Bombyx mori: one gene and its partners. The protein of the gene in region 4 binds, or shares a complex with, the protein of the main gene of each other region. Links are inferred from orthologs where the notes say so. Each region holds a gene or a part of one and is shown on either strand. Other genes may lie near its edges. The genes, in order: dynein regulatory complex subunit 3, dynein regulatory complex subunit 4, dynein regulatory complex subunit 7, dynein regulatory complex protein 1 and dynein regulatory complex protein 8.

Region 1 (5,450 bases), on a different chromosome or scaffold from region 4:
ACCGGCATCTCGTTTTTACCATCGCACCGCCCGCCACCGGAGTAGAGTTCATCCATACTACCTAGAGCCACTGCGGTCATCCACAGTGCGTTTCCAGAGGTCTTTTTTGCCACGTACCATCCGGCTATGGAATGAGCTCCCCTCCACGGTGTTTCCCGAGCGCTATGACATGTCCTTCTTCAAACGAGGCTTGTGAAGAGTATTAAGCAGTAGGCAGCGGCTTGGCTCTGCCTCTGGCATTGCTGAAGTCCATGGGCGACGGTAACCACTCACCATCAGGTGGGCCGTATGATCGTCTGCCTACAAGGGCAATAAAAAAAAAAAAAATTATTTAGTCTTATTGACAAACCATGTAAATTTATTTTAAAAGTATATTTACTTTAACAAAAACTGTGAATGTACCGCACATGATAAATTTTTTTAAGGTGGGACTCATCGACGTTTTAGCTACAGACAAGGCTGATGCGGTTGATAAATGCAAGAAGTTTATAAAGAAATTCGACAAAATCTCGCCTATAGCTCGTGCTTTAACCAAGCAAAAGATCAGGGCAGAACCTTTGACGTGGCTCATCAAGAATCGTAAACAGGACACTGATGAGTTTTTAACTTTTGTACAGAACCCGAAAGTACAACAATCGTTAGAACTTTACATTCAAGCTCTCAAACAGAAATCTGCTAAATAAATGCCTAATCACAATTATGTAAATAAAACATGTATGTTGTAATTATAAATTTTATAATTAAAATACTGTTCATTTACTTTTGAGTATTTTTGAACATTCTAACAAATTTTGTAAATAGTAGGAATTTTGTATTATATATTTTAGTCATTTATATAAATACAATTTTATACCACTAAAATATATTATCTATGATGTTGATTTAATAAGTACTTAGAATTAGTGTTGTAATAATTGTCATAGATATAAAAGTGAATATAAGACTACAATAATAGAGACACCAAGCATGAAATGTAGCATTGACTTTGTAAATGACCTCAAGTAACCATTGTATGACGTTGAAATGGAACGTTGATCCCACAACTCAGTAGACTTCAAATTGTGCCAAAACCGTGTACAATATGAAAATAATTAGAATATGTACTGTTTTGAATTTTTGATATGATTTACATTGTACTGTTCTTGTTTTACATGTAATATTTATGTTTTCAATAAAGATTGTTAAATCGTAAAAATATATATTTGTATTTCTATACCCTGTAAAATGGTTTATTTACATAGAAATAAATGTCTAAAATTTAAGTCATTGGATCACCCTTAATACTCACTACATCTTACTAGTGTAGTACCACTTCATTGGGTCAGACCATAGACTCTTCCTATTATTTTAACAATAAAAAGTTTTCTAGATTAGATTAGTTATATTTGTTTTGTACTGAAGAGTAGCACCGTTTTCTGAGCATTAATTATACCACCGCATTCTGATCATCAACTTAAACTTCCCAACTCTTATCACCAGGATAGGGCATATGGTGGGCCCGTAGTTTATTTCTGCCGCGAAGTAATTAGGAGTAGGTTTGAAGGGTGAGACCGTTATGAAATATAGTGGAAGACTTTGACCACACGTTTCGAGGTGAACACTCACGCTCTGTAGTCTGTGGGTTCTGGAAATCTAGACCAGTGCTTAGTGCGAGTTTTTTAACGTTCTCGATAGCGTAAAAGTTAACCCAATTTTGTATGCAGCTGGAACAGCGCCCCTAGCGGCAAACGATCCCATTCCATACAAATATACACTAACTTTTACGCTATCGAGAACGTTAAAAAACTCGCACTAAGCACACAGGTGGGGAGAGTGAGATCGTCACCAACACAACTATAAAAAAAAAACTATTAAAAAACAAAACAATGTTTTATTAATATTGAATAATTAATATGCTATTTGCCACACAAATATCTACAACAATACCACCAGGCCTCGTCCTTAGTTTTTTAAAAGTCATCACCAAGTAAGGCGACCGTCTCCGGGTCTACTATTTCAGTAAGTCCCATCTGCATATCAGTCCACTCCTCTCTTTGATTGTCTATGTAGTAATTTATCTCTAATATACGATCTCGATTACGCTTTACTTCGTTACTGAAACATAACCACGTAATTGTAAGTAATAGAACGCTATATATTCAAATTATTGTGCAAATAATAAGTATTTACCTATGAAGTTTCCGTTTTAGAATACTGGCCATTTGAAACGTACCTAATGTTGTATAAGTAAGCAATAAATTCCAGATCCAGAATAAATTTCATTTTGAAATTCAGTCCTTTGTTTATTGGATCGGTGAAAACATTATGTTTGTACATTTCTCATGAATATGGATACGATATTAACATGAGAAATTATGGTAAACGACTTTCGTCACGGTAACGATGCCGCACAAACAAATGGCTCACAACATTAATACGTGTCCGTAGTAAACACTACGAACTAACACACCACTCGTTGTTTTGAACGATTCAAGCATGGAAATTTTACTTTAAAAAATACACCCAGTGGTCACCCGAAAACTAAAGTCAACCATTGAAATACGTACTAAACAAATGCTCACGATATGCAATAACATCGTGTGATAAAATTCAAACCCGCTAAATTATAATTTGCGTAATTACTGGTGGTAGGACCACTTGTGAGTCCCTGCCTATTTCTGCCGTGAAGCAAGTAATGCGTTTTGGATTATTGAGTGGGGCAGCCGTTGTAACTATACTGAGATCTTAGAACTTATGTCTCAGGGTGGGTGGCGCATTTGCGTTGTGGATGTCTATGGGCTCCGGTAACCACTTAACACCAGGTGGGCTGTGAGCTCGTTCACCCATCTAAGCAATAATTTTTTTTATTAACGATCGCCAACGCAATAACGCCTGTACGCCAATGTATGCCTTGCGTTGCTTAAAAGACAACGAAACGAAGAGATTGCGAACCTCCTTCACGGCAACGCTCGCCCTCATGCGACACAACAGGACGGTCTCTTAACTATAACAGCTAGGGTTGGAAGTTTTGTGTCATCTACCGTACTTACCAGACCTTGCACCGACAGATTTCTACTTTTTCAAAGTTTGAATAACGACTTTGTACTAAAAATCGAATACCCGATATGCAGTACAAAATGCCTTTGATGAGTTTATTGGCCCCCTAACTTCTTTACACCAGATTTCTTCAAGAAGAGCATTGAAAGATAACCAAGGAACTCGTAGAGATGTACCGATTTGGGTATATATTTAGATTGATAGTTTGGGGTTAAACGACAAAGAGATTGATGGATCCGTCCACTGAGCGGGTGAAATTCCTCGGTAGACAACAATAAAACTTTCTGTATACATAACGGCAATTTCGTAGGTAAATACCTATTAATAAAACCGTGCAAAAATAAAAATACATTATTTCATTTGATTAATCAGAAGACACAAAAGCATTTAGCATAAATTACTGTCTATAAAAATGTAATACATAAAACTTAAAACTGTTTCGAAAAACGAATACTGTTATATATGAGTACCAAAGCCTTACGAATAGCAGTATGTCGAAACCTAAATCTCAATAATAGTGGTAAACCTCAGTACTGACTAAAGACGCCGGTGAAAGAAGTTGCAGTGGTCATTGACCTTGCTTATTAAGCGCGATGACTTGATTTAACTGTTTATTATTAGTGTAGTCTGCATAGATAAGATAAGAGTAGCTCTCTGTCGCGTAGCTAAATTAGTCCCTTAGGCTACGAGCGCTTATGTAGGGAAAAATACATATTGACAATGTTTTCTTTATTATATAGTACCTACTTAGGGACTTAAAATTAGAAATAGATAAACTTATTTATTCCTTAATCTGACAACGGAGCATGTATTTTATTTTATGAGCACCCAGACTATATTATTCCTTTTACACCTTATCAAAATGGTACATGTATTAATTATTTTTATTGTATTTTTATAGTGAAGGAAGGATCGTTCGATACTCACTCATTAGTGCCTTGTACAAGTTCATCTCGCCAGTTGTTGGCACGGGTCATGAGCAAATCCTCGCGTCCATCAATAAAACGCATGTGGTTATCCGAGGATTGAGCCACTAAATTCATCATTAAATCTCGATCCATCATCACCTGCAACACGACAAACTTATCAAGGAACAGAGAACTTAAATTTGAACAACACACCAACAATTGACAAGATTAAATTGCTTAAGGAAGAAGAATTAGTTTAAAAAAGTTGAGAAAATGTATCTTAAGTTTAAACAAGGATGAATTGGAAACTGTAACAAAAACGAAAACATAATTTGATTGAGTTCCTGATTCCTAATACACTATTGTTAATAATATCGATATTTGTAACGTTTTTTACTACTGGTAGGACGTCTTCTGAGTACTATTTCTGGCGTGAAGCAGTAATGCGTTTCGGTTCGAAGGGCGGGCCAGCCGTTGTACTGTAAAAACTGAGACCTTAGAACTCGTGTCTTAAGGTGGATAGCGGTATTTACGTTGTAGACGTTTATGGGCTCCGGTAACCACTTAACACCAGGTGGACCCTAAGCTCATCTACCCATTTAAGCAATTACAAAAAAAACCTATCACACAATTTATTGGCGGTCTTATCGTAACAGGGCGGCGCGTGCCAGCTAGATTTGCATTACATTGCGGGTCACTTTATGGCATAGTAGGTACATTTCACCTTCAGCATTGAAAACGTTTCACGATGTAGAACCTTGATTTAATTTAAAAAGTGCAACCAAGATCTCAACTGTGTGTAAAAATGTGAATCAACCTCAAATAACTCTGGGGGTACGTCTCCCAAGATGAGCTTATTCCCAAGGAGCTTTGACAGCGCCTCGAACTGTCTCATAGACCAGACGCCCTCTTGTTCGCGCCACGCTCCGAATGCGTTACGAGATACCTCCAACAGTTTCGTTACCATTTCCGTTATGTTAACAGAAAATTGTACGCGAGATTCCTGTGATTAGAAAATAAAGCTGTCTAAAAAAAACTTAGGCTTAGCAAATACTATACTGTATCTTTATTATGTACGTATATATCTTTCGTCTTTAGTCTGAAAAGTGTTTTGTCACATACATCGTGATAACTCACAATGTCTCCAGTCCTTAATACGAAGGCTAGAGAAAACTTAACCTGTTATACCCCAATAATATTTTCATCACAAAAATTGTACAGAAGAATAATAAATACCATTTAATATTAAATTCTAACAATGACATCTTAATTTTATGTTTTATGAATCAATTAATTTAAAAGAGGATGTTTTTATAAAAATTTACTAAGTATTAGGTTTTATTAGGTAGATACTAAATAAAATTAAATACCTCACACTGCTCGTAGAGCTGCATCTCTATGGTCATGAGACTCTTCCACAGGTGGTAGAGGACCTCATTGAAGGTCTCGCCGAGGTCAACTATCAACGGCTCAAGCTCCTCTATGGTAGCTTGCTTCGTCGTGAAC
Region 2 (5,511 bases), on a different chromosome or scaffold from region 4:
CATCATTAACGCCCCCGCAACTGGTGTAGGGAGTCCAAAACGATTTTTTTAACTGCGTGATGTGATGTCTCTAGTATTGTTTATATGAGAAAAGTAAGCATTAAAACTGTTAAAATTAAATACGATTGAAAATTAAAGAAATGTTTATTTCACGTAACAGTTTTCTAAGTTACGTGTTGAAATAACAAAACATTCTTGTGTGTTGATAAAATGTTATATAAACATATTTGTAGGCAAAACAATTTGCTACAAATTATGATTATACAATTTTTTTGTAAGACGCATAGTTTCCGAGGTATCGCGAAAAGAGTGCTTTCACCCCTTTTTCCAAGATGGCGGCCGGGGGACACGGGTGGCGACCCCACAAACCTGAGGTTAAGCTTCTATTGACACCCCACAAATGTCCCAAAAATAAAATTGCATCCAAGACGTTTTTGCGAAAAATCCTTTATATGTCCATTAATTCTTAAATCTCCGATCACTAAGTCAAATCTAAACGCTTCTTAAGTCTACTTTAAGCTTGTACTAGCAATCGAAGAACCTTAAGAGCGTCCTCAATTTTATTTTAAAAAATATTAGGTATCTATGATAATAAAAAAAAAACAGAAATTTGCCACTTTGCAATGAATACAAAGGATACTTTGTATATTTTTAGCGAGTAAACAATTTTCGTGAACGTATAAGCAATTAATCAATATCATAAAACGAAATCCATGTCAAATTATAGTTTATGTGTATTATATTTTTCAAAACTGAAAGTTTGGTTGTGTATAGTTCAGTGATTCTCAACCATTGTTCCGCGGCACTTTTGCGTGCCGCCAAATTTTTCGAATATATAATAATGTTAATATTATTGGAACGAAGTTCCTTATCGCGCGTTGTGAAAGGGGGCTAGACGGAAAAAATTCTTACGAAAAGTTGTCACGACACTTTTTAGATCCGTCATTCTGACCAATCAACGTGTAGGCGCTTTATAGTATTGTGTTTTTCTTCTTCATAATGCCGTAATTTATTATTATAACTTTAAAAAAAAATTACAATTCCTTCACTAATTAATCGAAAGGAACTTCGTTCCATCCGGGTGTCCCTTGACACCTCTGAAGTTTGTAAATTATATCATTTTAAAAGAAAAATATTTTAAACATGAATATACTATAATATTTAAATACACAAAAAAAATATTGTATATTTTAGTTTATTTCGTATATGAAAATTTTTTTTATAAACTATTAATGCAGTGTGTTGTAGTAAGTAAATAATTTTTATCTTTTTTTTTTGTGTGCCGCCAAATTTTGAAATCGTTAAATATGTGCCGCACAACAAAAAAAAGGTTGAGAATCACTGGTGTAGTTAGTTAAGAGTGAATCTTGAATCATTATTTCGAATTCCTTATTAATTGATAATGTTCTATGTATTATTTCAAGCTTATCGCGTTTAATTGTATTTATATAAAACTTAAATATTTTTTTCGTTTTTATTGTAACTAACACAAGTAATATTTTCTAAAACAACTATTTTAATAATTTACGACACTTTGTACAAAGTTTCTTTGAGATTATGAAAATAGCATTTCTCGTAAGTATTAAGTATTACTGTTAATTTTAAATATTTTCAAAAAAATTATTACTTTTAATGCGTGAATTATTTGTCTAAGCTACAAAAGTATTTAAAAAAAAAACATTCTAATACAAATACCTTGTTGATTTTTATAAATTCACTTACCCATGTATATTACGTTGTAAATAACATTTTCAATTTGTTCTTAACGTGCAAAAATTAAGTTATGGAAAAGAAAATTGTTAATTAAAAGATAAATAAATATATATATTAATTCCATAAATAGTATATAATATATAGTAAACGTTTGTAAATGCAATTAAAAATCGCTAAAATGCAAGCGGAAAGGTTCAAAAAATGTTTGACGCCTTTTCATTTCAAACTATTGCCTTATGAATGTTTTGTACATAATTAAATTAAAATGATACTAAAAAAAAAACGTTAGTAGGAAATAAAACACTTATTGGCTTCATTTTTTTGGTTTTATTTATTCTGGCACCGGCAATTACAGCGAAAACATCGACCTCATATTTTAAGGTTCGTTCATTCATATTGTTATAGTAATGGGTTCCGGTAGCCTTCTAACACCAGTGTGCTTAGTGCGAGTTTTTTAACGTTCCCGATAGCGTAAAAGTTAACTCAAATCTGTGTGCAGTTGGAACAGCGTCCCTAGCGGCAAACGTAGGCAAACGTTCCAACTCCATACAAAGTTAACTTTTACGCTATCGAGAACGTTAAAAAACTTGCACTAAGCACAATGGCTGATCGCTGTGAGATCTATCAGATAGCTTGATCTTGAATGGTACGCAGTCGCCCGGCTCTGCCAATGTCATTATCAATGATCTTAGATGGTGGTGACAGCTTATTACGAAAAAGGAAAAAAGGATTTACAAAAATATTTTTTGGTATTTACAATTTCTCTTCAGAACAATTTAGATAGGCACAACTTTTGCAATTATATTATACAATTTTTTTAATTTCTATTTCTAACATTGATCTTTCGTCACTAATCCTGCTGGTCCTTGACCTATTACAGGCGATACTCCGGCCACCGCAACGGCTTTTAATGGTCTGAAAAAAAATATAATACCTATAATAAATAACATCTTGGGTTTTGTAATAGTGACATCTCGTGGATACGTTTTGTACTATATAAACTTTTTCTCATAACATTAAATTTCCAGTTCATAAATTTTGCAAACAGCGCCATCTGTTACTATCACGATAATACACTTTCAAACGTTTCAATTTTTAAATATTTTCATTTTATCAAACTAGATGTCGCTTGGATAAACTTTATTTATTAGTTTTCATTAAACACCATAGATGGCGCTAAATTTAAATTTACTCACTTGAAACCGAGTTCTTCTGGAGGCACTCCTAATTTCACTAGTTTCGCTTCGTAAGTCGCGAGTAGATCATCATGCGCCTTCCGAAGTCGTGCGGCTTCATACCGAAGATCTTCTACTTGGGTGTCTTTGAGTTTGAGCAGTTCCTTTTTAAATTAATTAATACTAAGTGAGTACAATGTAAAACCCATGAAAAAGTTACTACTGTTAAGAGGAAGTCTTTTTTTATTTAGCGCATACATAAGTGGACGAGCTCACAGCCCACCTGGTTTTAAGTGTTAAGGTCGTGTTTCCGATCCGGTGGTAGATTCTGCGTAGCACGGCTCTTGCTAGGGATAGTGCTAGCAACGTCGTCAGGTTTGAGTACCGTTAGCTCACTTACTTGTTAAGGCTACGCTGAAATGGTCTCTCAAGACCATCAGCGTAGGTAGGAAAAAAAAAGGAAGAGGGGCGAAACAGCCGGATTCATTTATCGGTAATAAAAATATTAACTCACATGCAATTCTCTCGGTCCTAAATCTCTTGCTTCCATATTTTTCAACTTGGTTTCCAGTAGGGCCGTTTTCAACGAAGCCCTCTGTTGTACTTCTAGTACGGCCCTCGAAAATCTAGCCTTCAGCTCGTCTCTTTCAGCTAGCACTCTGTCGAAGCGTATTTGTAGCACTTCGTATTCCCATTTCAAGACTTCGAACTGTTTCTCTAGGGTTGCTAGCTGTTTCGTTTTTGCCTGTATTTTAATATAGTTATTGATTTAATAAGGTGGATGACGGCATTATATATTATGTACTTAACTGTAAATGTTCACGATTGACTTCCACGGTGAAGGAATAACATCGTGTAATAAAAATGAAACCCGCAAAATTATAAGTTGCGTAATTACTGGTGGTAGGACCTCTTGTGAGTCCGCACGGGTAGGTACCACCACCCCGCCTATTTCTGCCGTGAAGTAGTAATGCGTTTCGGTTTGAAGGGTGGGGCAGCCTTTGTAACTATACTGAGACCTTAGAACTTATTATGAAGGTGGGTGGCGGTATTTACTTTATAGATGTCTATGGGCTCCGGTACGGAATAGATAAATAAGGTTGGAAAGGCCTTTGCTCTAATTTTGTATTAGAACCAGTGTCGCCGCTTCATCCCCACTATTTTAATTTCTACACATACACACACTGTGATTACAAGTATTTCGCACACAACAAAAACACCCACACATAAATCTCAGGACAGATATTCGTTCGCAATTAGCACAAAACACCCGTAGGCATACACACTCACACACGCAAAAAGGCAATAAAAATGTTCATACACGCTAGTGCTTGGTAAAATCGATATTCTTTATCGATAAATTATCTGATGAATGAATGGAGAAAATGAAACATGAAATAAATATTGAAAAAAAAAAACTATTTTACTTTTATTAATTACAAATAGTCACTGTCGCTGGAATAAAACGTATTTGTTAAGCAGTTGGCGCTTGCTATTAATTGCGAATGAATTTTTCAGAACTAAGTGTATTATGATTTTTTTTATGGTAAAATCATTTTCAGTAAAATGTTTAGAGCAAATAGTACTCGTCTTTGTCTCCAGTTTCCTCTACCTGTCACGTCAATCCATTGTTCCCTGGCGTTAGGTTCTTTAGGAAACCTAAAATTTTTTATTTACTGCATAAGTCAAATGGCATTTTATTTAGATTTTAATACGTCTTAGACAATATAGTAAATACCCGTAAATGAGAGGTCTACATGTCCCTTTATATTATACCTTCACTTTAATTCAATGATAATAATTCAATAATAATAATACATATTTATTTTACTCAAAATACGTCTCACTAAGAATATACTAGGTATCATTAATTAAATATAAAATAATGCAAAAAATATCCATGTCAAATGTAAATATAGTCGAGAATTCTGTCGATGATTTTATTTCACCACATGGTCACCTCACTATCGACAAACTAGCGCCGTGCACCACGGCCAATCAGGGCAAAGGCCGAAATTTCAAAGATTGAAGTGTAGAGAACGCAATGCATGTAGTACATTGGAAGCTGACTTGGTCATTGCGTTCATTGGGCGAGTACACATCGCGCAATGTATGCTATTTATAACTTGCTGCAATAATATTGTTAATGTTTGGAATTTCATAATGCTCAGTATATTTTTATGTTTTAGACAAATAATATTGTAATTAAATGGTAATTTCGACTTACCGATCGAAAGATATACCTCCTCGCTCTATACTTGAGGTCTGATTTTTTGTTTTACAAGTTATAATTGCACAACACGGCACTATAAAGCGGAGATCTGTTCGCCCAAATATTCCGAAGCGCACTAAACGCGGTGAATGAAAGAATCGGTCGAGTTATGTTTGTTCGATCATAACAGTGGCACGCTTGCCCCGCCTACATTACCATTCCAACCTTATTTATCTATTCCGTGGGCTCCGGTAACCACTTAACACTAGCTTAACACTAGGCTACTAATACTCACAGCTAAAGCAGCTTTGTCCCTATCATAGTTTGACATTTGCCGTTTCAGTTCCTTGTTGTCGATGATGGCTGCTTCTAAAGGCTCTCGAAGACCTTTCGCTTCTGCTACTGCATCTC
Region 3 (6,341 bases), on a different chromosome or scaffold from region 4:
TGATACCCACCCGCGCGGCCTCACAAGAGGTCCTACCACCAGTAACTACGCAAATTATAATTTTGCGGGTTTGATTTTTATTACACGATGTTATTCCTTCATCGTGGAAGTCAATCGTGAACATTTGTTGAGTACATTGAGTTTCATTAGAAAAATTAGTACCCGTCTGAGATTCGAACACCAGTGCATCGCTCAACACGAATGCACCGAGGTCTTATTCGTTAAGCCACGACGACTTCATGTAATGTTCTTATTGAAAAATCAATTTTGACGCTGAATTAAACGCTGATAAAAATACTATAATTAGGTAAATGATGATAGGAAAAGACAACGGCCGGTCTGATCTAGTGGCTGCGGGAGTCGATGAGACCAAAACTTCAATCACTTTTCCTACTTCAAAATACGAGGTCAAAATATCCCTTGGACTTCAAATCGTGCTGACAAGCTCCAAAAGCATTCTAACGTAAATTTGGGACAGCATTAAGAGTGTACCTGTCGCTTCTGTTCGAATAATATTCATCGAATGTAAGGGTAGTGCAGACCAGCCTCGTGAGGTGGTCAAGTCGGGCGTAGTAATTGAACTCCATGGTCCTGACTGCCTCCACAGAGCCGACCAGCGCGTCCATGGAGTACACGTGCTCTGTGGAACATTTTTTTCCATAGTAAAACTTTACGATTAGTAGGTAGACGAGCTTAGGGTGAGTTTTTTAACGTTCTCGATAGCGTAAAAGTTAACTCAAATTTGTATGGAGTTGGAACGTTTGCCTACGTTTGATAGCAAGCCAAGGTGGGTGGCGCATTTACGTTGTAACCACTTAACACTAGGTGGGCTGTGAGCTCGTCCACCCGGCGTATGGCTCTGGTATAAAGTTGTTTTTTTTCGAGTTACGACAATTCCGCTTTCCTCCATCAATACAGCAAGCTAATAAAAGCGTATTGAAGAAACCAAAAACACAATAATTACTGAGTAAATGATCCCTCCTTCCGATACCGAACGTCTCGCGTATCTCACGCTTCGTGTGATCTATTCGAACGGTTTCCATTTTGTCGACGCGATGCTTGTACCACTCGTACCTAGAAAACATTCCGTTATCTGCATTAATTTAATTTAATTGGAATTTTAAACAACTACAGTGCCCGCCGATAAATGCTGCCCATCGACATTTGGAAAGCAACGATCGGCTAATTTCGGCTTCATAGAACGTTATCTCTGTAGAATATTTGTAAGTAACACGTTCATTGTATTTTAATAGGACAACTTAGATGTATGTTTATCTCTTTCCTAAATCAAATTGATCTTACAGCTATGGAGCGTAGAAGTAAGGAGCATCATTTTGGTGTATTAAAAAGTGTCCGCTGAAAGAGAGCCAATTAAGGGGGCGCCACAGTAGCTAGTGGAAGGATTTTAAAAACACCGCCATAAGCTATCACACTTCATTTCAATCCAGCCCAGTTCACTCTGTTTAAAACTAAATAAATTCATATCATTTCCATTTCTTACGCTGGTGCTATTTCGGTGATTCTTCAAACAATAACCTTCTGATTACAGGTGGACACTTTTTTTTTATTGCTTATATGGGTGGACGAACTCTCACAGCCCACCAGGTGTTACAGACATCTACAGCGTAAATGCCGCCACCCACCTTGAGATATAAGTTCTAAGGTCTCCGTATATTTACAACGGCTGCTCCACCCTTCAAACCGGAACGCATTATTGCTTCACGGCAGGAATAGCCAGGGTGGTGGTACCTACCCGTGCGGACTCACAAATAATTTTGCGAGTTTGATTTTTATTACACGACTAGCTGACCCGGCAGACTTCGTAGTGCCTCAATCGATAAATAAAAGACTTAAACTTTTGTATAAAATAAACTTAAAACAAACAAAAGGAATCCGTTCGACGGAGGACATATCAAAGGAAAAACAAAATTGTTTGTTTTTATATAATTCCGAGCATTTTCATAATTATCAACCTTTTAAACCTTCTCTGGACTTCCACAAATATTTCAAGACCAAAATTAGGGAAATCGGTCCGGCCGTTCTCGAGTTTTAGCGAGACTAACGAACAGCAATTCATTTTTATATAATACTAGCTGACCCGGCAAACATTGTTTTGCCATAATATATAAGATTTCTAGGGAATTTCTAGTGTAGAAAAAAAAAAAAATAATTTATTGTAAGTGTGTAAGGATGTGGTAAATGAGTGAAAGAGGTATGTAGTGTTGTGAACGATGAGGGAATATATAATAAAAATAACAAAACCTCATTCAACCACATAATACCTCAATAAAAAAAAAAAGTCCAAATAAAAAAAATATGTTAGGGGTGGACAACCCTAATCACTTAGGGGTATGAAAAATAGATAGTAGCCGATTCTCAGGCTTACTGAATATTCATAAAAAATTTCACGAGAATCGGTCAAGCGGTTTTGGAGGAGTATGGGAACGAACATTGTGACACGAGAATTTTATATATTAGATATAGATAGATGTTCAACTGGTTCCCTATACAAGATGCGTGCTCATTACTTCTACCTCTCCATAGCTACAGCCTTCGCACGTCAGAGAAGTCTAGGGTTCTCTTAGCGGTGGTGACGAGGCGTATTAGGCCTCGTTTCTGGACTGTGTAAAGTCGAAGACGCACTCACGTGATCAGCGGGACGGTCAAAGCGTAGTCCTCAAACGTTCTGATCCTCTTCACTACACCATCCCTCTCGGAGTAGGGCGAGAACTTATCCAGTAAAACTTTCTTGTAGTGTATCACTTTGTGGCTGCCCGGATATCTTTGACCGTACTCTGATAAGGGTATTGCTTTGTTAATCCTTTGAGAAGCGTGCAGGTCACCGGTGCTCTACGCGGCGTAGTAGTAATTATGTCGATTTCTGTTACTAAGGCGCTTGGATTGTCCTTTTTTTTATGTCTTAGACGGGTGGACGAGCTCAGAGCCCACCTGGTGCTAAGTGGTTACTGGAGCCCATGGACATATACAACGTTAATGCGCCACGCACTTTGAGATATGAGTTCTAAGGTCTCAAGTACAGTTACAACGGCTGCCCCACCCTTCAAACCGATACGCGTTACTGCTTCACGGCAGAAATAGTCGGGGTGGTAATACCTACCCGCGCGGACTCACAAGAGGTCCTACTACTTAAATACACGATGTTTTAGTTTTTTAGGTATCTTACGCATAGATTCATTCTCATTACCTTCGGGTTCGTCTTTCCCAGTATCGACTAGATATTCTGTCGCGTTAGCAACAGTAAATCGATATAAGAGTCGTCTATTATCAAAGGTGGCAATCTGTGCATTTGGACAAATTTTTTTTATTGATATGTCAATACAGATTCATTTGAATATAATCGTCTCCTTCAAAGAATACGGTTCAAAAACTGCATTAAATAAAGGTTAATACTTAAGCTGTTATTTATCTAAGATGTCGTTCAGAAGAGTTTTGTGACTGCCAATGGAATACAAAGTCAATAATTCGTTTTTCTGATTTACCAATAATTTTCCAAAAGTCACATTGCTGGCTTTGATAATAGTCGACTCATAATTACTTCAGTGCGCTACGTAGAGCACAAACCGGGCCTAAGACTCTTACAAGTTAACGTCGCCAACCACCCTAAATTCCAAGTAACGGATATCCCGTTCGCTTCAGATTTACAATAGACAATAATCGACTCAGAATTGCGAACGTAATTTTACCATCAGTACTAATCTCCAGTTTCTCAACCCAGCTGACTGGCATATCCAGATGCTTCTCTGTTTGCACAGCTGTCTTCTTGTCGGCGATGTCAATGCCGACCATCTGCCTCCGATGGTGGGGCTCGCCGGCCAGAAGATGCTCCCACGCTGAGAGGTCGCTCAGATCATAATTCAGGCTGTCCAACCCAATGTCTGTGCTTTGGACGTTTGCCTTAAAAAAAGTTGTAGGTAGGTATGTAGTTGTACTCTTTTATTTATTTCTTAACACCACACAGGTGGTACCAACAAATTCACTGATAATTTTATTTATTTAGCGATAGTCAGAGAAAGGTGATGCATGTGACTAGGAGATGTATGGAAATGGTAGTGCAAGGTAGAGGGGGAAGAGGTTGACGAAGAAGACAGGGATGAAGTGTGTGAATGACGATGAGAGAGAGAGGAGTGAGTGTTGAGATGACGCCTTTTTTTTCATACCTAAGCTGATGGTCTACAGAGACCATATGAGCGTAACCTTAACTAGTAGGTGAGCTCACGGGGCTCAAACCTGACGATATTGCTAACACGAGCCCTAGCAAGAGTCGTGCTTCGCAGAATCTACCACCGGATCGGAAACGCGACCCACTGAGAAGATCCGGCGAGAAACTCAGTGGGCTGTGTCTGTGGGTTAATTTACTAGCCGAGCCCTTCGTCGCAAGCGACGGGTTCGACGAGGACGGTGACCGATGCTTGGGGTATCTAAAAGCACCGTTAGTGGATCGGGAGGATCCGAAATGATGTGGATAGAAGAGAATGGAATAGAAAAATTCTCTGTGCCGACCCCAATAAGGCGGAGATAAAGAAGAAGAGTCAGAGAAAAGCGTGTCCAGGGCTTAATAAAAATTAAAACTGCCTAGTTCTAGAAATATAATACACAATAACTCAATAATTAAAATTATTATAATTAATGTTCCATTACGTATAATTTATACATAGTACTCGTGATTAATTTAAACCTAAAAGCTTTTTTAATCGACCGATTAAAAAATACTATCAATTTGTTGAAATTCGACACAGGAATTCGCCGGTTTTCAATAAAATTTGCAGTTGAAACTCACATAGTAGTTTTCGTGATTGTACACGCTGTCTATGAATTGGTATTTTTCTGAGTCGAGGAGATGACCTTCGCCTTCGCTCGGCTCTATGAAGAAAGGTTCGTCGATTCCCATGTATCCCGGCAGCACGAGGACCCAGGCGTGAGTTCTCCACCCGTTAATAGCGTCAGCCGGGGCTTTTTCCAAATCCTGAAAACCAACGATTATTATTATTATTATTTTATTGCTTTGATGGATGGACGACCACAGGCTCCCCCTGGTTGTTAATTGGTTACTGGAGCCCATAGATATCTACAACGTAAATGCAAGTTACAACGGCTGCCCCACCCTTCAAACCGAAACGCGTTACTGCTTCACGGCAGAAATAGGCAGGGCGGTGGTACCTACCCATGCGGACTCTCAGGTCCTACCACCGCTAAATAGGCAAATTATAATTTTTCGGGTTTGATTTTTTGATTATACGATGCTATTCCTTCAACGTGGAAGTCAATCGTGGAACATTTGTTAAGTACGTATTTTATTAGAAAAATTGGTACCCGCCTGCGGGATTCGAACACCGGTGCATCGCTAGATACGAATGCACCGGGCGTCTTATCCTTTAGGCTACGACAACTTTAGCATCCAACGCCAACAAATTACACCGACAAACGCTACAACTTGTACGCTTCTATCCAGCTTGATGACCATGAGGTCTAAATCTCATTCGTAACTGTCCCATCCCTTAATGCGCTGGTGCTATGAGCCAAGAGCGACGTCGAACTATATGACAATAACAAAAAAAAGTAATACACAAATTGATTCTAAGTATTGCGGTGTGGATGCTACTGGACGAATTTCGACCGCTTGGCTGAACACTTGATTAAGTAAATACTCCAATCTACATTTATATACATATACATCTATATATATAAAAATGAATTACTGTTCGTTAGTCTCGCTAAAACTCGAGAACTCGATTTGGCTAATTTTGGTCTTGAATTATTTGTGGTAGTCCAGAGAAGGTTTAAAAGGTAGATAAATATGAAAATTCTCGGAATTATATAAAAATAACGACTTTGTTTTTCTTTTGATGCGTCCCCCGTCGGACGGATTCCTTTTGTTTGTTTTAAGTTTATTGTATACAAAAGTTTAGGTCTTTTATTTATCGATTGAGGCACTACGAAGTCTGCCGGGTCAGCTAGTACTAGATAATTACTTCTTATAAAACAGGTATCTTATGTTATAAATAACATAGGACATTATTATTATACTGATTATACTCCAACTAAAAATGATGTAAGCACAGTTAAGTACATATCTGTTTAATTATTCTATAAATTTTTATGTGGATTCTGAAGAGACCTTAAATTAAATATGCATAAAGATGCTAACAGCAATTTTACGAAGTCGCTCTTTCTCGGTCTTGTTCAGTTCAGCTTGTTTCTTATCATCGGCTTTCTTGTCCATATCACGGCAGTACTTAGAAGTGAGATCCGGTAGGGGCACCAGGCGATATCTGGGCTCTTCGTCAGGTGGTGGAATTTCTTCTTTTTTCTGGATACATAAA
Region 4 (7,059 bases):
GAGCTCCCCTCCACGGTGTTTCCTGAGCGCTATGACATGTCCTTCTTTAAAATAGGCTTGTGGAGAGTATTAAGCGGTAGGCAGCGGCTTGGCTCTGCCCCTGGCATTGCTGAAGTCCATGGGCGAAGGTAACCACTCACCATCAGGTGGGCCGTATGCTCGTCTGCCTACAAGGGCAATAAAAAAAAAGAAAAGAAACTAATAGTAAGTTACTGTCCATCAATTATGACATACCAATCGTTCTTTAGCCGCTTGTAATCTGCCATCCTTCGTCTCGTCTAATTTTGATTCAGTTAATTCATTCGATTTATCTTTATTAGCTAATTCTCGTTGCTCTGCAAACAAAACCACGTTCAAAGCCCATAAGAATTATGAAATATATATTTTTAATGAAGATATTTCCAGTCTCCAGTTTACCGTATTTGCTTAATGGACTTTTGGGTAATGGCGGTGGAGGAGGCGGAGGTGGTCCGGCTAGAACCTGAGCATGTAAAGCCACTTCACCTTGCCTTAGCTCTTTACTTAATTCTGAGCAACGATGCGTTGCCATACGCCATATTTGGCAAAACTTATAATCGTTAACGTGCTTGAATTGATCAGACTTTTTCTCCAAATCGTCCATTGTCTGCATCAACTTTACAATTTCAGCGTCTGCTTTAATTTCTTCTATGGCGCCTTCTTCAGCAGCCTTGCGAATTTTCGCACGTAGTGCATTAGCAACGTCAGACATTTTGTTAAGTTTTCTTTTTTGTTGTGACCGGACAAAAACATTTTCTTCTTCGCGTTTCTTTAGGATCTACAACATACCACTAATGGTGAAAGTACATCATTTTCATCGTTAGTCATTTATTTACTCAGCCTGATAGATATAACTGGAATACATTTTTTATACTAAACGTACGAATTCTAAAATCGAACGTGCTCTCTTATGGAATTTTTTTGAGATCCGTTCAAAATATCCAATTTAAAAATTACATACGAAAAGACAAGAAAACATAAAAACATAATATTCATTGTTGTGTAAGCAAGGTAGGCCGCGGCTTGGCTCTGCCCCTGGCATTGCTGCAGTCCATGGGCGACGGTAACCACTCAACATCAGGTGGGCCGTATGCTCGTCTGCCTAAAAGAGCAATAAAAAAAAATAAAAAAATGTGAACCGCTGAATCCGAGAAACACTTGAAAGACAAACAATTCTCAGATATTTCGTAATACATATTTATAAAATTTCTCTACAGCAACATTGTGTCGTCGTGTGTTTTGAAGTCGCTGTGGCCTAAAGGATAAGACGTCCGGTGCAAACGGCCGTCTGGTGTAGTGGTAAGTGACATGGTCACTACACAAGGGGGTCGCGGGTTCGAATCCCGCCAAGAAAAGGTATTTGTATGATAAATATAAATATCTTTTCCAGGGTTATGGATGTATATTAAATATATCTATGTGTATAATAAAAATCTTACATTTATATCCGTTATCTGGTACCTGTAACACAAGTTCTTTACGAACTTATCACGGGACCAGTTAACGGGGTGTGATTGTTTTTTAATAAAAATAAAAAAAAAAATCGTATCTAGCGATGCAACGGTGTTCGAATCCCGCAGGCGAATACCAATTTTTCTAATGAAATATATTGTACTTACCTTGTTGTTGTTAGGTAAGTACAATATATTTCATTATTTATTTGTTAATATTCACGATTGACTTCCACGGTGAAGGAATAACATCGTGTAATAAAAATCAAACCCGCAAATTTATATTTGGCACAATTACTGGTGGTACGACCTCTTGTGAGTCCGCACGGGCAGATATTACTATCCCGCCTATTTCTGCCATGAAGCAGTAATGCGTTTCGGTTTGAAGGACGGGGCAGCCGTTGTAACTATACTGAGACCTTAGAACTTATATCTCAAGGTGGGTGGCACATTTACGTTGTAGATGTCTAGGGCAGTATGTCAGTAACCATTTAACACCAGGTGGGCTGAGAGCTCGTCCACACATCTAAGCAATAAATAAAAAGAAAATTTTTGAGAAGAGAATTGTGTGATGTCAGAAGTATGTAAAATGGAATATTGATTTTAACCTGATAGTTGTAACCAATCTTTTCCGTATTTATAATGCAAGTGGCTTTCAATTTTTCTAATTCCCTTTGCAGTTCTTGAATTAGAGATTCGAGTTCAATTTTAGCTTCACGAAACTTTTCATGATGATCCCACATAATTACTTCTATTTCTTGCTTGTGTTCTTCTAACTGTGAAATAGTTGCAACTTTATAGCAATATAAGTGCAACGAAGCTATGTATTACATAATAGTTTCAACCGTATAGAAATTAAATCAAATTACAGCAATACTTCATTGTAAGAGGTAGGAAGGCCTTGATGACAATGAATAGCGTTGACTTGGGCTCAAATTTCCTCAAGTAAAATTGCAAATAATTATATTATAGGTAAATAAATAATCATCACAATCATCATAGGTCAAATGAGTCGACTATTATCAAAGCCGGCAATGTGACTTTTGGACAATTATTGGTAAATCAGAAAAACGAATTATTGACTTTGTATTCCATTGGCAGTCACAAAACTCTTCTGAACGACATCTAAGATAAATAAGAGGTTAAGTATTAACCTTTATTTAATGCTGGTTTTGAACCGTATTCTTTGAAGGAGACGATTATATTCAAATCAATCTGTATTGACATATCAATAACATTTTTTGTCCAAATGCACAGATTGCCACCTTTGATAATAGACGACTCAAATAATCATCACTCGAGGCTCAAATCGAGACTATTCATTAATGTAGGGTACTACCTGCTTTGATCTATATTCCATATGAGCTAATTCTTCTTTGTCACGTTGCTTGTAGAGAGCTTCCCAACGCTTATTGTTGTGATCAACCATAACTTCCCGCTCGATTTTTATCGCTTGTTCTATCAAGGATAGTTGTTTTTCATAAGCTCTTTGCATTATAGTTACTTGTTTTTCGATTCTATCAGACAATTCTTTGATATCTTTATCCTAAAATGATATGGCTATTAAAATTATGTTTAACTTTGATTGTCTAACTTATTATATTGTTATGTGGTTTAGTCAATCGCCAGTTATTATTACACACTTGTTTATCTAAGTCTTCATAATAAGCATCATCCATTTGTTGTAGGTTATTCTTTAATTCAGTTATCACTTCATTTTTTTGTTCCATTAAGAAATCGCATTTTTGTCTCTGCTTTTTCATTTCTGCGTCTATATCTAATGGATCTTTGATATTGAGCATGGTATTCCAATTTGACGTAATAGCTTCATACTGGATCTGCGCCTCTGTTGCTTCGTCTTCTATCTTCTTCATCAAATCTTATTTTAAAAAAAACGTTTATATAAGTTGCACAAACAATATAATAGTTCTGTAATTCTGTTAACAGTAGATGTAGTAACAGTACATGAACTAGAGGAAATTCTACCCCTTACAAATGAACACATTCCACAAAATACCTCTCATATTATCTGCGAATAATCCTCTTCTTAAGACCTCTCGTTCGTCGGTGGTGACTTTGACATTGGTAACTTTAGCAGCTCCATCAAGATTCAACCTCTGCAACTCCTCTGCAGCGGTAGCTGTAGCTAGTTCTATTGGACCAGCATCTTCATCTGCTACGATTTCTTCAGTTTGTTGTTCTGATCTATTTAATGATAATCAAAAGGAAAAGCAGTGTGGAATAAAGACATTTAAAAGTTATTGTTTATGTATTAAAATTTCATAATTCTGCCATTTGATATAATTTTCAATGTATCAAACCGCTGAAGTCAATAATTGGAATACCTAATACTAATTTCGTGTTCTTATATTTTTGTGAATAATAAATTTAGGTAATTCTAATATTTTGGTGATCTAAATCAGTATTTGATCTCAGAAGTATAGCAATATTTTATTGAGATAGGAATTGATATTAGAAAACCTTTTTAACGCTTCTTGTCTCCTTTTGATACGAAGAGACCTAGCTGCTTTTCTCTCGACTGGGTCATGTGACGTAATTTGAGGTTCTGTAGGAGCGAGGACATCGTCTTCTTCGTCATTATATCTTTCGAAAGTTCCAGCCATAGTTATTATTCTAATAATCTGCCTGACATTTCCTAAATTATTTCTGTAAAAGATGGTTATTTACAGTTGTCATGGTAACCAACGAGAACGTCATAGATAAAGAAAGTGGCAGAAAATTGATATCAAATACTATAAAAAGACTGATGTGATCAAATCAATGAGTCGCTTGTCTCGTTGTAATTTCAAAAGTAGAACTGTACAATCTATCATCCGTTATGTCTAGCCTATAGAAGCTAGGTTATAAACTAAAGTATATTACAGCTTTACTTCCTAAAGCGTGGTCCGTCGTCCACTAACCCCACAAACAATAGTCACTAATTGCGTGAGATTTCAAAATGTGTGAGAGATAGCTAGTTACTTAATAGCTTCCGTGACATCGCTTGCCAAGGTACCTACTTATAGTCGAGAAAGATGCGGTAAGGTTTGTTTAAAAATTCTAATTTTGAATATTTAAGGTGTGTAAGAAACTATCTAGGTAATTAGATTTTTAAAGCCATTTTAGGCAATTGAACATTTGGCTCATCATAAAGATATAGTGTGATATAGATAGTAATAATTAGGTAAGTAAGTAGGTAATTAGATTTTTAAAGCCATTTTAGGCAATTGAACATTTGGCTCATCATAAAGATATAGTGTGATATAGATATAGCATAGTGTGTGATCACCGTCGATAATGGAACATAACAATGCATGCTCAAGCCTTTACCTGCAGCCGTTACACCGCGTTTTATTTGTATTTCCTAACGTCGTCTTTTTGTTTTGATTTAGGCCAATTATCACTTAATTATACTGAATAGGATTTACTTTAGAGTCTGCTGTTAATGACCGCCTATATTTAAAGGAATGTCTATAGCAAAATTTAACTTTATTCTATCGGAAGGCCATTTATTTATCTCGTATGTTGTATTTGGCTATCTACCTAAATATGGATCATTAGTAGGTACCTACTTTAAATGTCACTTATTTAAACTACACGAAGTTGTGAGCTGATTTTTTATTATTAGATGAGGCAGACAAAAATAAGGTACAGCTCACACACCTTATGCATTTGCGGCGGTGTCCGGATACTCTCTGCGGACCATGAAAATTCAGGTGAGGGATGTAGGTTCGTGGAGATATCGTGCCGGTTCGTACCCATATTCGCAGCAGGTCTCTAAGGTGAAGAACCTCTAGTCGATAGAATAATGTAGGTAAGGGAAGTCGACAAATTGTTTTTTTTTTACGAATCACCTGGCGCAACACTGATTCTCAACAAAGCGCAGCACGACGCTGCTCTACGTACCGGACCATATTTTATTAAGTGTAGGTATATCTATGCCGGACCGCACAAAAAATATAACGTGAATACATTTGCTCTTCTAGACACGATTGAGGTTTGAAATGCATTTCCACAAAGACTATCCTTTTTTCCCGTACGACCGGGTTGCTCTTCTACAGCACATGCGTCGACGACAGCGACGCCGGGAACGAGGACCGCACCTGTCGCTGCCGACCGTCGTAACCACGATGCTCGACAGCGACAGGTGCCTAAAGGATAAGACGATTGAGTCTTAAGAATTGAAAGAAGAAGACAGATTGAGTCGTCGTGGCCTAAAGGATAAGACGTCCGGTGCATTCGTATCTAGCGATGCACCGGTGTTCGAATCCCGCAGGCGGGTACCAATTTTTCTAATGAAATACGTACTTAACAAATGTTCACGATTGACTTCCACGGTGAAGGAATAACATCGTGTAATAAAAATCAAACCCGCAAAATTATAATTTGCGTAATTACTGGTGGTAGGACCTCTTGTGAATCCGTACGGGTAGGTACCACCGCCCCGTCTATTTGTGTCGTGAAGCAGTAATGCGTTTCGGTTTGAAGGGTGGGGTTGTAACTATACTGAGACCTTAGAACTTATATCTCAAGGTGTGCGGCGCATTTACGTTGTAGATGTCTATGGGCTCCAGTAATCACTTAACACCAGGTGGGCCGTGAGCTCGTCCAAAGATCTAAGCAATAAAAAAAAAAAGGTGCGGTCCTATTTTCGCAACGAATACGCGACACTGCTCTGCGAAAGCAGGGCACTACGCGAGCGTATCCTTCGCCGGCTACTCATCGAATAGCCGAAGGAGGCGTGTCCCGTTAGTGCCTGCGTCGTCTGGCAGATGAGACGGCAAGCGGCAAGACTACGCCTCGATTGAAGCCTCCCCGCTCCAATTTCCGTCTTGCCGGGACGGTTCCCCATGGAGCGGAGGTCACCTAATTACATACAATCCGCAACGAGTGCCTCGGCCTCCAGGCCCCAGGGAGGCGTTCCGGCGAGCACGCACGCCGCCTTTAACGAGACGGTGCGGTACCCGTGAACCACCCCGGACGTGATCTCAGGCTGCGGACGTTGCAACGCCGTTATCGCGGGTCAGGACGTGACGCCACATGGACCTCCAGGCGCAGCCTTCGTATACTGCCGGCAACGAAGGAACCTGTGTAACCTAACCTAACCAATGTAATATTTTAAAATTTTGAACACCCGTTCTCCTTTCCATCATTGATTCAAAAGTTCTAGTAACCGATATAATCCAGCTTGGTAAGTTTAATAAAGTTTTGTTTTACCAAACATGTATATCGTTCTCTTAGTAAAATTGTCAATGGGAAGTAGGACTTCGACGTTTTGTCAAATTGATATATTTCATTTTAGTTTCATCTACCAACAGGTAAACAACAAACAGAAAAACTGATCATTCAGCCATTTAGATCAAATCATCGTACATCTCATTACTAGTTATAGACATCTTAAATCGAAGTCATTTTGAGTTCTCGTTTTTTTATAAGATTGTTCTTGAACATGTGATATTTAGGGATGTCCATGCATTTATTATACGAGGGCATAGCCATATTTGGGACATTTTCGAATACATGACCAATATAAATATCAATTTAAATTTAGGGCTTGGTTGAGCCTCTAATGTCGTATGGCTGTCGACAA
Region 5 (7,139 bases), on a different chromosome or scaffold from region 4:
TAATCTCTAATTTCATAATTTAGATGAATTTTTTTAGTACATACATTCTTTTTATGATATTAAATTAATAGTTTAATAAATTATTTTAACCCTATATATACTATATACTATCCTAAATACAGTATTGTATGTTCTACAAAACTACTTTCCATAAGGGCTGTAATTGTTCAGTCGCATAATTGATGCGTTTAGCGAGAAACAAAGGGGCGCTGTTTCAACCCCATACAAAATTGAGTTGACTTTTACATGATTGAGAAGTTCAAAAACTTACACTAAGCACTCTGGCCAGTTCTAATGGTTGATTTTCTTATATTAACTCTGTTAGTGTTTTAAAGGAATTAAAATAAAAAATTACTTCTTCAATAATGTTTTTATGTTGTTGTTGAAAATGTTTTATATATTAACTAACAATTTTAAAATGTTCACAATAATCGAACATTGCATTCATTAACAATGTTCTAGGTATTACCTACTCTATTATAGTCTGATAATAAATATTAATTGTAATTGAAATACTACATGACATTTTTTGCTTTGTAAAATTTGGGAATCCTCAACAGAATGAAGCATTATTTCGCACCTGAACAAAGACTTGTTTTGCAAAGCACCGGTACAAGTCGCACTAGGGTCCTGCTCATTTCCCTGAAATATCATATACCACTTATGCATTCAATTCTCTCTGCATCCACAGTGTGATTTCAGACTTTTTTGTTTTTTTCTCTCCATAATTTTTTATTGAACTCTATAATATCTGTTGCAATACTAAGCATCCACCACAGACAAAATAAAGTTGAAACAAACTTACTTAATTTTATTATTTAATAATAAGTTTTCTGTGTTTGTAACATATTGCATGCAACCTATTTTAGATAAGGTTGACAGTAATATGACCATTGTAATCTTCATCAATTTAATGATAAACATTGCTTTTAAAACACAGATCATAAACAAAGTATGGTATTTATTTTTATTTAGTAGATTAGGTACTTAATTATTATTTTAAAAACCATCTCTGTATATTATCTTTGTTATCTATAAGACTGTGATGAATAAATTAATTTGCTACCCATGCTTTTTTCAACAATTCTGGAAAATATTAGTCTTAATATTTCATACTAATCAACATATTATCTGATAGCAAATTTAAATAAAATAACAGTAGTTAATAATTTCGTTGAAGACCTTAGAGGAAAACATTAATTAATCAAGGTTGTATCCTTAAAGTTACTTCTATACCTAAAAATACTATATCTGGACATTAGAAGCAAAAAGACGTATACATTTTGTGCAAAAAAAGCTTTTAACTGATTTGATTGAATTTCGTTTTATTTTACTTTGCAGAATCGAGCTCTTCTTACCTATTATTAAGCCTAAGAATAATCATATGAATGAATTTCCCATAAAACAGTGTATACATAAATTGATATCGATGTCGAAGTTTTCAAACCGATTACGATTTGAACTGTTCAGTTGGAATAACTGCAATAACTGATATGCGTCGTTGTATCAGTAAAAACATATAAAATACTTCGAAAACTTAATGATGCTGTACATTAATATTTAATAAATTATTAGATTTTTATGCGATTTTATCTCATGCTTGAGTGTGAATAAAGTCGTAACCTTGATTTTGGCGTCAGATATTAAAATAGGTGTGTTTGCAAATCTCTAAATGGGACAGCAAACTGATGTATGGTTACTACGGAAGTTAAAGTTACTAAGAATCACACTAAATCTCTTAAAGTGGAAACAACAGTGCAACAATGATCCATGATTGATCGACAAATGTACACGTGCAGTAATTAAAAAAGTCCCTAACAACAATTTCAGCAACATTACTAAAAAACTGTACATTACGCATTAAATAATTACATCTGAAATCCTAACCTGTTCCAGTTTTCGCTTCGAGTGCTTTTTTCAATCTTTCTACCAAAGCCGGCTTGTTTCCCTTCGTATCTAACCCGAGAGCACCCAACTCGGACCTCAAGTCCACCACCTTCATTTTAGCAGGATCCATTGTATTAATCGTCTGATAGTATCCACTTCACAACACTTTAAAGTTTTTAAAACACATGTGCTTAAATAATATTAATTCTATTACTATCTGAACGAAAATTCACGACAGAAAAAGCGCCAACTAAATCCAAAATGGCGATTTAGCGGCGCATCAGCATAACGGAAGGAAATGGCGGTATATTATCTATGGTGGGGATTGGCGATTCCAGAATTTTTTGGAATAAGCTATTTGTTGTAAAATTCAAAAGGCCAAGGGTTTCTTATCCATACTACTCAAAAGTCTGGAAGCCTGCTGTTTAATCAGTATAGATTGGATTGTTTTTACAATGAATTTATTTTCTATTTGATTTTCTATAAAAGCATATTTTTGTGTTTTTTAAAGTATATATTTTTTTTTAACTAATATTTTTTGAATGTGGTACGACAATTAAACATCAACATGTCAACAATAAGCTATTAATTTGTACATTGGTTGAATTAAGCTTTGTCAATATTGTGGAGGAGCTGTTAAAACTGGGAGCTAATCCTAAAAAAAACTAATTTATGGATAATAGGTCTAACTGTTTAAAATATTGCATTGTCAACGGTCCTTGATAAGTACCTATGTCAAATTTTGATTTCAGTCTACGTTTTGAAGGGGGTCAAAATCATGTTCAAAGCATCCGTCACATATATACATACTAACTTACAGCAGCTCTGGTGCAAAATAGAACTAAAGCTTCGTCGATGACACTAGTGATAACTGATAGGTTGTGTTGCCTGGTTACGGAATATTTTTTTCAATTTAATACGTGTACTTATTAGTGTTACAAATCTTATAATTAAACTATTAGTTCATTATGGCAAGAAAAGAGGAACCTAAAAGTTAGTTATTATTTGAAAGATTTACTTTATATACATTTAATAATTTATAAACGAGCGATGTAAATACTGTGTAATTTAGTATCACTCATTAAATTTTATTATAAATGAATACATACATAAATACATTTATTAGTTGAAATTTAAACAAAACCAAACATTTTTATTGGTAAATAGATATTACGTCTGGTATAATATCTGATATATGTCATATATTGGTATATCTCATATACCTTAAATGTATCTTTCTAGTTCAACCAAACAATGATTTGGAGAAAAAAATAATTGAAGCTTTCGAAGTATTTGACCATTCTGGGAAGCAAGTCGTAGATGTAAGGGAAATAGGAACAATTCTTCGATCTTTGGGTAATGCTTTTTTTTCTGGTTTTCGTTAAATGTTTTAATACTTTACTAGTGTAATAAAGAGTATTTAAAAAATTCTGACTCTCACGGTAAATTAAAAGACACGAGTCACCACGAGTAGCCGATGGCGCTTGGAACAGTGCCGAAGTATCGCGAAATCATACTAAATATCGTAAGAATACAATAGCCGTGTTTACAACGTAATTACGCATGAAAAAAGTCATCATTTTGCTTTCCGTGCTCCAATTTTTCACCCTTTTAGGATAATAGATATCTCAATTTTAGTATGACAGTGATTATTCACGTCTTCGAGTCGCTACAAATTATTTAGGAGGAATAGTCGGAATGAAGGTGCTCTCCTCTCCGAGCCGGTCTGTGTGAACGGACCCTTAGGCCGTTTTTTGTTTTGGAAACTTCTAAGCGGATAACTGTTTGAGTACTAAATAGACTGTTTACATGGTAAATTTTGAATATAGCAAAAGAGACGTTAAATATATGTTTTTTAAAGGTTGCTGTCCAACTGAAGCCGAGATACAAGAGGTGATTTTAGCAACGGAAAACAAAGAAGCAACTGGAAACGTTCCGTTAACGAACTTTTTACCTTACATGTGTAAAGTCATGATAGAACATAGGTTTGTAATATTAAAATTAAAAAGGTTAAACAATTTTAAAATTTTGACAGTGTGGCTCAATCTTCGTTGTTATTTTTCATATCTTCTTTTTAATATAATACTGGCAGACCCGGCCACACGTTGCTGTGGCTAAGGTTTTTGTTTCTAATTAAAACGCGGCCGACTATGCTAATATCAAAAATTGACAAAGAACAATTGGATTTCACTGTATTGCGTTTACTACGAAATAAATTACCTACACTTATACTTTAGCCTAAGCATCATGTGGTGCTTATGCCATTAAATTGTAGCTTATGGAAACGTTGGAATTTTTGACAAAGCCAATTACGCCATTGATCACCGAGATAAGTAGATTTTGATGTTAGCTTTCTACCTTTCGTACGTGAATTTTTTAATTTAATTTTCCATAAAATGTTCATTATGTCAGGTATTTTATTTATTAATGGGACAGGTTTTATCCGGCGAGCGCTGAAATGCTGTTGGCTGCATTCAGATATTTTGACACGGAGGGACGTGGGTACCTCACTAAAGAGAGGTTCGCCAAGCTTATGATGGAAGAAGGAGAGTCATTTACGCAGGTACCTTAAAATTTCTTATTATTATCTATATCTATATATATAAAAATGAATTGTTGTTAATCAGTCTCGCTAAAACTCGAGAACGGCTGAACCGATTTGGCTAATTTTGGTCTTGAATTATTTGTGGAAGTCGAGCGAAGATTTAAAAGATAGATAGATATGAAAATGCACGGAATTTAATAAAAATAACAATTTTGTTTTTCCTTTGATGTGTCCCCTGTCGGTCTTTTATTTATCGATTGGGGTACTACGAAGTCTGCCGGGTCAGCTAGTTTTAAATAAAACAATTCGTTTTCCGGCTGCCTTCACTTTATGTCGTATAATATATTGTTACGCCGGTAAGAGTAACGCCATCTATCGCTGAACAGCCGAAACGAATACCAAATGATAGCAACATCTAGAACGCTCGAAAAGTACAACGCCATCTATTGTCAGGTAGCGGAAGCACGCATTGAAAGTGCTCGACTTGTGAGGAATGTTCTCGACGATTCTAGGGATGTCGTATCGACTTTATAAGCGTTGCAGAGATGCTGTCGACGTCACCCAAAACACGTCATTACGGATCCTCCCGATCCATTAACGGTGCTTTTAGGTACCACAAGCACCGGTCACAGTCCTCGCCGAACTAAGTTTCTCGCCGAATCTTCTCAGTGGGTCGCGTTCCCGATCCGGTGGTAGATTCTGCGAAGCGCTGCTCTTGCTAGGGCCAGTGTTAGCAACACTCAGGCTTGGGCCCCGTGAACCTTCATGTTAGGGCGAAACTGAAATAGTCTCTCGTGTTTGTGAAGTGTTTTAAGTGTTCTAAGAGATAACACAGTTTCAATTCGTACTTCGATAGAATTTTTATTTATACCGAATCGTATTATAATATAACATTATTTTTTATAATTAATAATCCTAACACTATACAACAATAATCCATAACATTAGTTATTATAAAATAATACCGTGTTATATGTTATGCTAACAAATACTATACTGTTGTATATGGATATGAATTGACTCGGTTAAATTTCAACGAGTATTCTTATGGCTCTCATTTTTTTCATGATACAGGAGGAGTACGATGAAATGATGCAAACAGCGTTAGATCCTGTAACAGATACAATAATGTACGAATATTACATCAACCAACTTATGGTGAGCGCATTCTATTTTGTTGTTTTGTTTATATTTTAGTTTATCTTATAAAGTTTAAGATTTATAATATTCTATGTATCTATTTTAATTTGTTGATTTTATATATAACTAGCTTTTACCTGCGACTCCGTCCACGTGGAATAGTTACTTTGGCATAACGCTAAATTTTACCCCCACTTCATTTACGTAGAAAGTGAAAATATTTTTGAATTATAGAATGTTATGGAGCTATTTAAACCCCTATTTTGAAACATTCTTTATTGGTGCTCCACTTGTATTGGTCTTACCGTGATGTTATATAGCCTATAGCCTTCCTGTAGGATTCAAATGGGTTATCTAACACTGAAATAATTTTTTAAATCGGACCAGTAGTTCTTGAGATTAGCGCGTTCAAACAAACAAACTCTTCAGCTTTATAATATTAGTATAGATATGGATTTATTTTATATTATCTGCTGGTATAATATGCACAGTTAGTATATTGCTGGGGTGGCCAACTTGATTAGAATCAAGATCAACTGTTTACTGTCGAAGCACTACATAAGCACTACGATCTACCAATGACATTTCTTGAAATTTATGAAACAATGCAGTTCAGTATACAAATAAGTAGTATATTTTCTTTTATTGAAAAGATTAACATAAAGTTGAAATTATACAATAAAAGAGAACTATTGCGTGGAAGAGAGAATAAATAATGTGAGGTAATTGTCATTTACAAAAAATGTATCTTTCAATGATACAATTATCATTTAATGATACAAGATGAAGATGATGCGTGCAGCAATTGGTGATTACGTTGCGCAGTCTGTTCTATGTATTTATATTTTTTTGTCTTGCCACGATCGATGTAAATGGAAAAATTTGATTCGAGCCCTACACCCCAGCAGAGGGTAATAGGAAAGAATGATGAAGAAGATGATAATGACGATCGACTGAATTAATAGCCAAGATCGACCGGTCGATTGCGATCTTTTTTTTATTACCCTTGTAGGGAGACGAGCATACGGCCCACCTGATGGTGAGTGGTTGTCGTTGCCCATGGACTTCAGAAATGTCAGGGGCAGAGTCAACCCGCCGCCTACCGCTACCGGTTAGCCATCCCTGGTATATTGTATAGTATAATAGAAAAGCATCTGTTTTCGTTTTAATTAATGCACCTGTAGTAGGTGTAGTAGGTTTTCTATATCATCCTTGGTCGATTAGTAGAAAATGTTTTGGGCACTAAGTTTGCCAATGTAATGTGCATGAATAAAATAAGGTTTGTTTAGTTTTTGTAAACAGATTCTATCTTAATGACTGCAGTGTATTTATCAAAAGCGTCATTGCACTATATTGTGATTCGAGTAATGTTTTATTCTACAGAATTGAATTGCAAAGCTCTGCTTCAATGAACACTAACATATAGATTTTAGTGATAAACGCGAGTTATCGTAGCGCCCGACGAATTGTGATTTCGCTAAATATAGCATAGCTCATAGCTTGTGGTGGACAGTCGTCCTTTGTTTAGCAAGTATAACAGAGATCAGTGGGTAATGAAGCAGTATAA

What was found.
Region 1: dynein regulatory complex protein 1 (region 4) and dynein regulatory complex subunit 3 share a complex: the UniProt entries of both Homo sapiens proteins name them as parts of the nexin-dynein regulatory complex. The link is inferred for Bombyx mori from reciprocal best matches to the Homo sapiens genes DRC1 and DRC3.
Region 2: dynein regulatory complex protein 1 (region 4) and dynein regulatory complex subunit 4 share a complex: the UniProt entries of both Homo sapiens proteins name them as parts of the nexin-dynein regulatory complex. The link is inferred for Bombyx mori from reciprocal best matches to the Homo sapiens genes DRC1 and DRC4.
Region 3: dynein regulatory complex protein 1 (region 4) and dynein regulatory complex subunit 7 share a complex: the UniProt entries of both Homo sapiens proteins name them as parts of the nexin-dynein regulatory complex. The link is inferred for Bombyx mori from reciprocal best matches to the Homo sapiens genes DRC1 and DRC7.
Region 5: dynein regulatory complex protein 1 (region 4) and dynein regulatory complex protein 8 share a complex: the UniProt entries of both Homo sapiens proteins name them as parts of the nexin-dynein regulatory complex. The link is inferred for Bombyx mori from reciprocal best matches to the Homo sapiens genes DRC1 and DRC8.

The regions. Positions count from the first base shown.
Region 1 is NC_085117.1:10,144,917-10,150,366, forward strand, and holds the end of dynein regulatory complex subunit 3, read right to left. Parts: coding exon 5,315-5,450; intron 4,948-5,314; coding exon 4,762-4,947; intron 4,104-4,761; coding exon 3,964-4,103; intron 2,095-3,963; coding exon 1,950-2,094; 3' UTR 1,851-1,949; downstream 1-1,850. Other genes in the region: enoyl-CoA delta isomerase 1, mitochondrial, read left to right, coding at 426-683. UniProt on the Homo sapiens protein: Component of the nexin-dynein regulatory complex (N-DRC) a key regulator of ciliary/flagellar motility which maintains the alignment and integrity of the distal axoneme and regulates microtubule sliding in motile axonemes.
Region 2 is NC_085113.1:2,413,416-2,418,926, forward strand, and holds the end of dynein regulatory complex subunit 4, read right to left. Parts: coding exon 5,396-5,511; intron 3,634-5,395; coding exon 3,403-3,633; intron 3,053-3,402; coding exon 2,910-3,052; intron 2,629-2,909; coding exon 2,544-2,628; 3' UTR 2,018-2,543; downstream 1-2,017. UniProt on the Homo sapiens protein: Component of the nexin-dynein regulatory complex (N-DRC), a key regulator of ciliary/flagellar motility which maintains the alignment and integrity of the distal axoneme and regulates microtubule sliding in motile axonemes.
Region 3 is NC_085131.1:3,589,920-3,596,260, forward strand, and holds part of dynein regulatory complex subunit 7, read right to left. Parts: intron 6,329-6,341; coding exon 6,167-6,328; intron 4,985-6,166; coding exon 4,799-4,984; intron 3,916-4,798; coding exon 3,705-3,915; intron 2,796-3,704; coding exon 2,648-2,795; intron 1,075-2,647; coding exon 965-1,074; intron 641-964; coding exon 493-640; intron 1-492. UniProt on the Homo sapiens protein: Component of the nexin-dynein regulatory complex (N-DRC) a key regulator of ciliary/flagellar motility which maintains the alignment and integrity of the distal axoneme and regulates microtubule sliding in motile axonemes.
Region 4 is NC_085109.1:8,024,342-8,031,400, reverse strand, and holds the start of dynein regulatory complex protein 1, read right to left. Parts: upstream 4,261-7,059; 5' UTR 4,094-4,260; coding exon 3,951-4,093; intron 3,675-3,950; coding exon 3,487-3,674; intron 3,349-3,486; coding exon 3,113-3,348; intron 3,016-3,112; coding exon 2,809-3,015; intron 2,246-2,808; coding exon 2,078-2,245; intron 797-2,077; coding exon 418-796; intron 336-417; coding exon 235-335; intron 1-234. UniProt on the Homo sapiens protein: Component of the nexin-dynein regulatory complex (N-DRC) a key regulator of ciliary/flagellar motility which maintains the alignment and integrity of the distal axoneme and regulates microtubule sliding in motile axonemes.
Region 5 is NC_085130.1:5,993,565-6,000,703, forward strand, and holds the start of dynein regulatory complex protein 8, read left to right. Parts: upstream 1-2,722; 5' UTR 2,723-2,855; coding exon 2,856-2,880; intron 2,881-3,129; coding exon 3,130-3,243; intron 3,244-3,748; coding exon 3,749-3,872; intron 3,873-4,323; coding exon 4,324-4,450; intron 4,451-5,267; exon of another isoform or gene 5,268-5,506; coding exon 5,507-5,590; intron 5,591-7,139. Other genes in the region: heterogeneous nuclear ribonucleoprotein U-like protein 1, read right to left, coding at 1,888-2,017. UniProt on the Homo sapiens protein: Component of the nexin-dynein regulatory complex (N-DRC), a key regulator of ciliary/flagellar motility which maintains the alignment and integrity of the distal axoneme and regulates microtubule sliding in motile axonemes.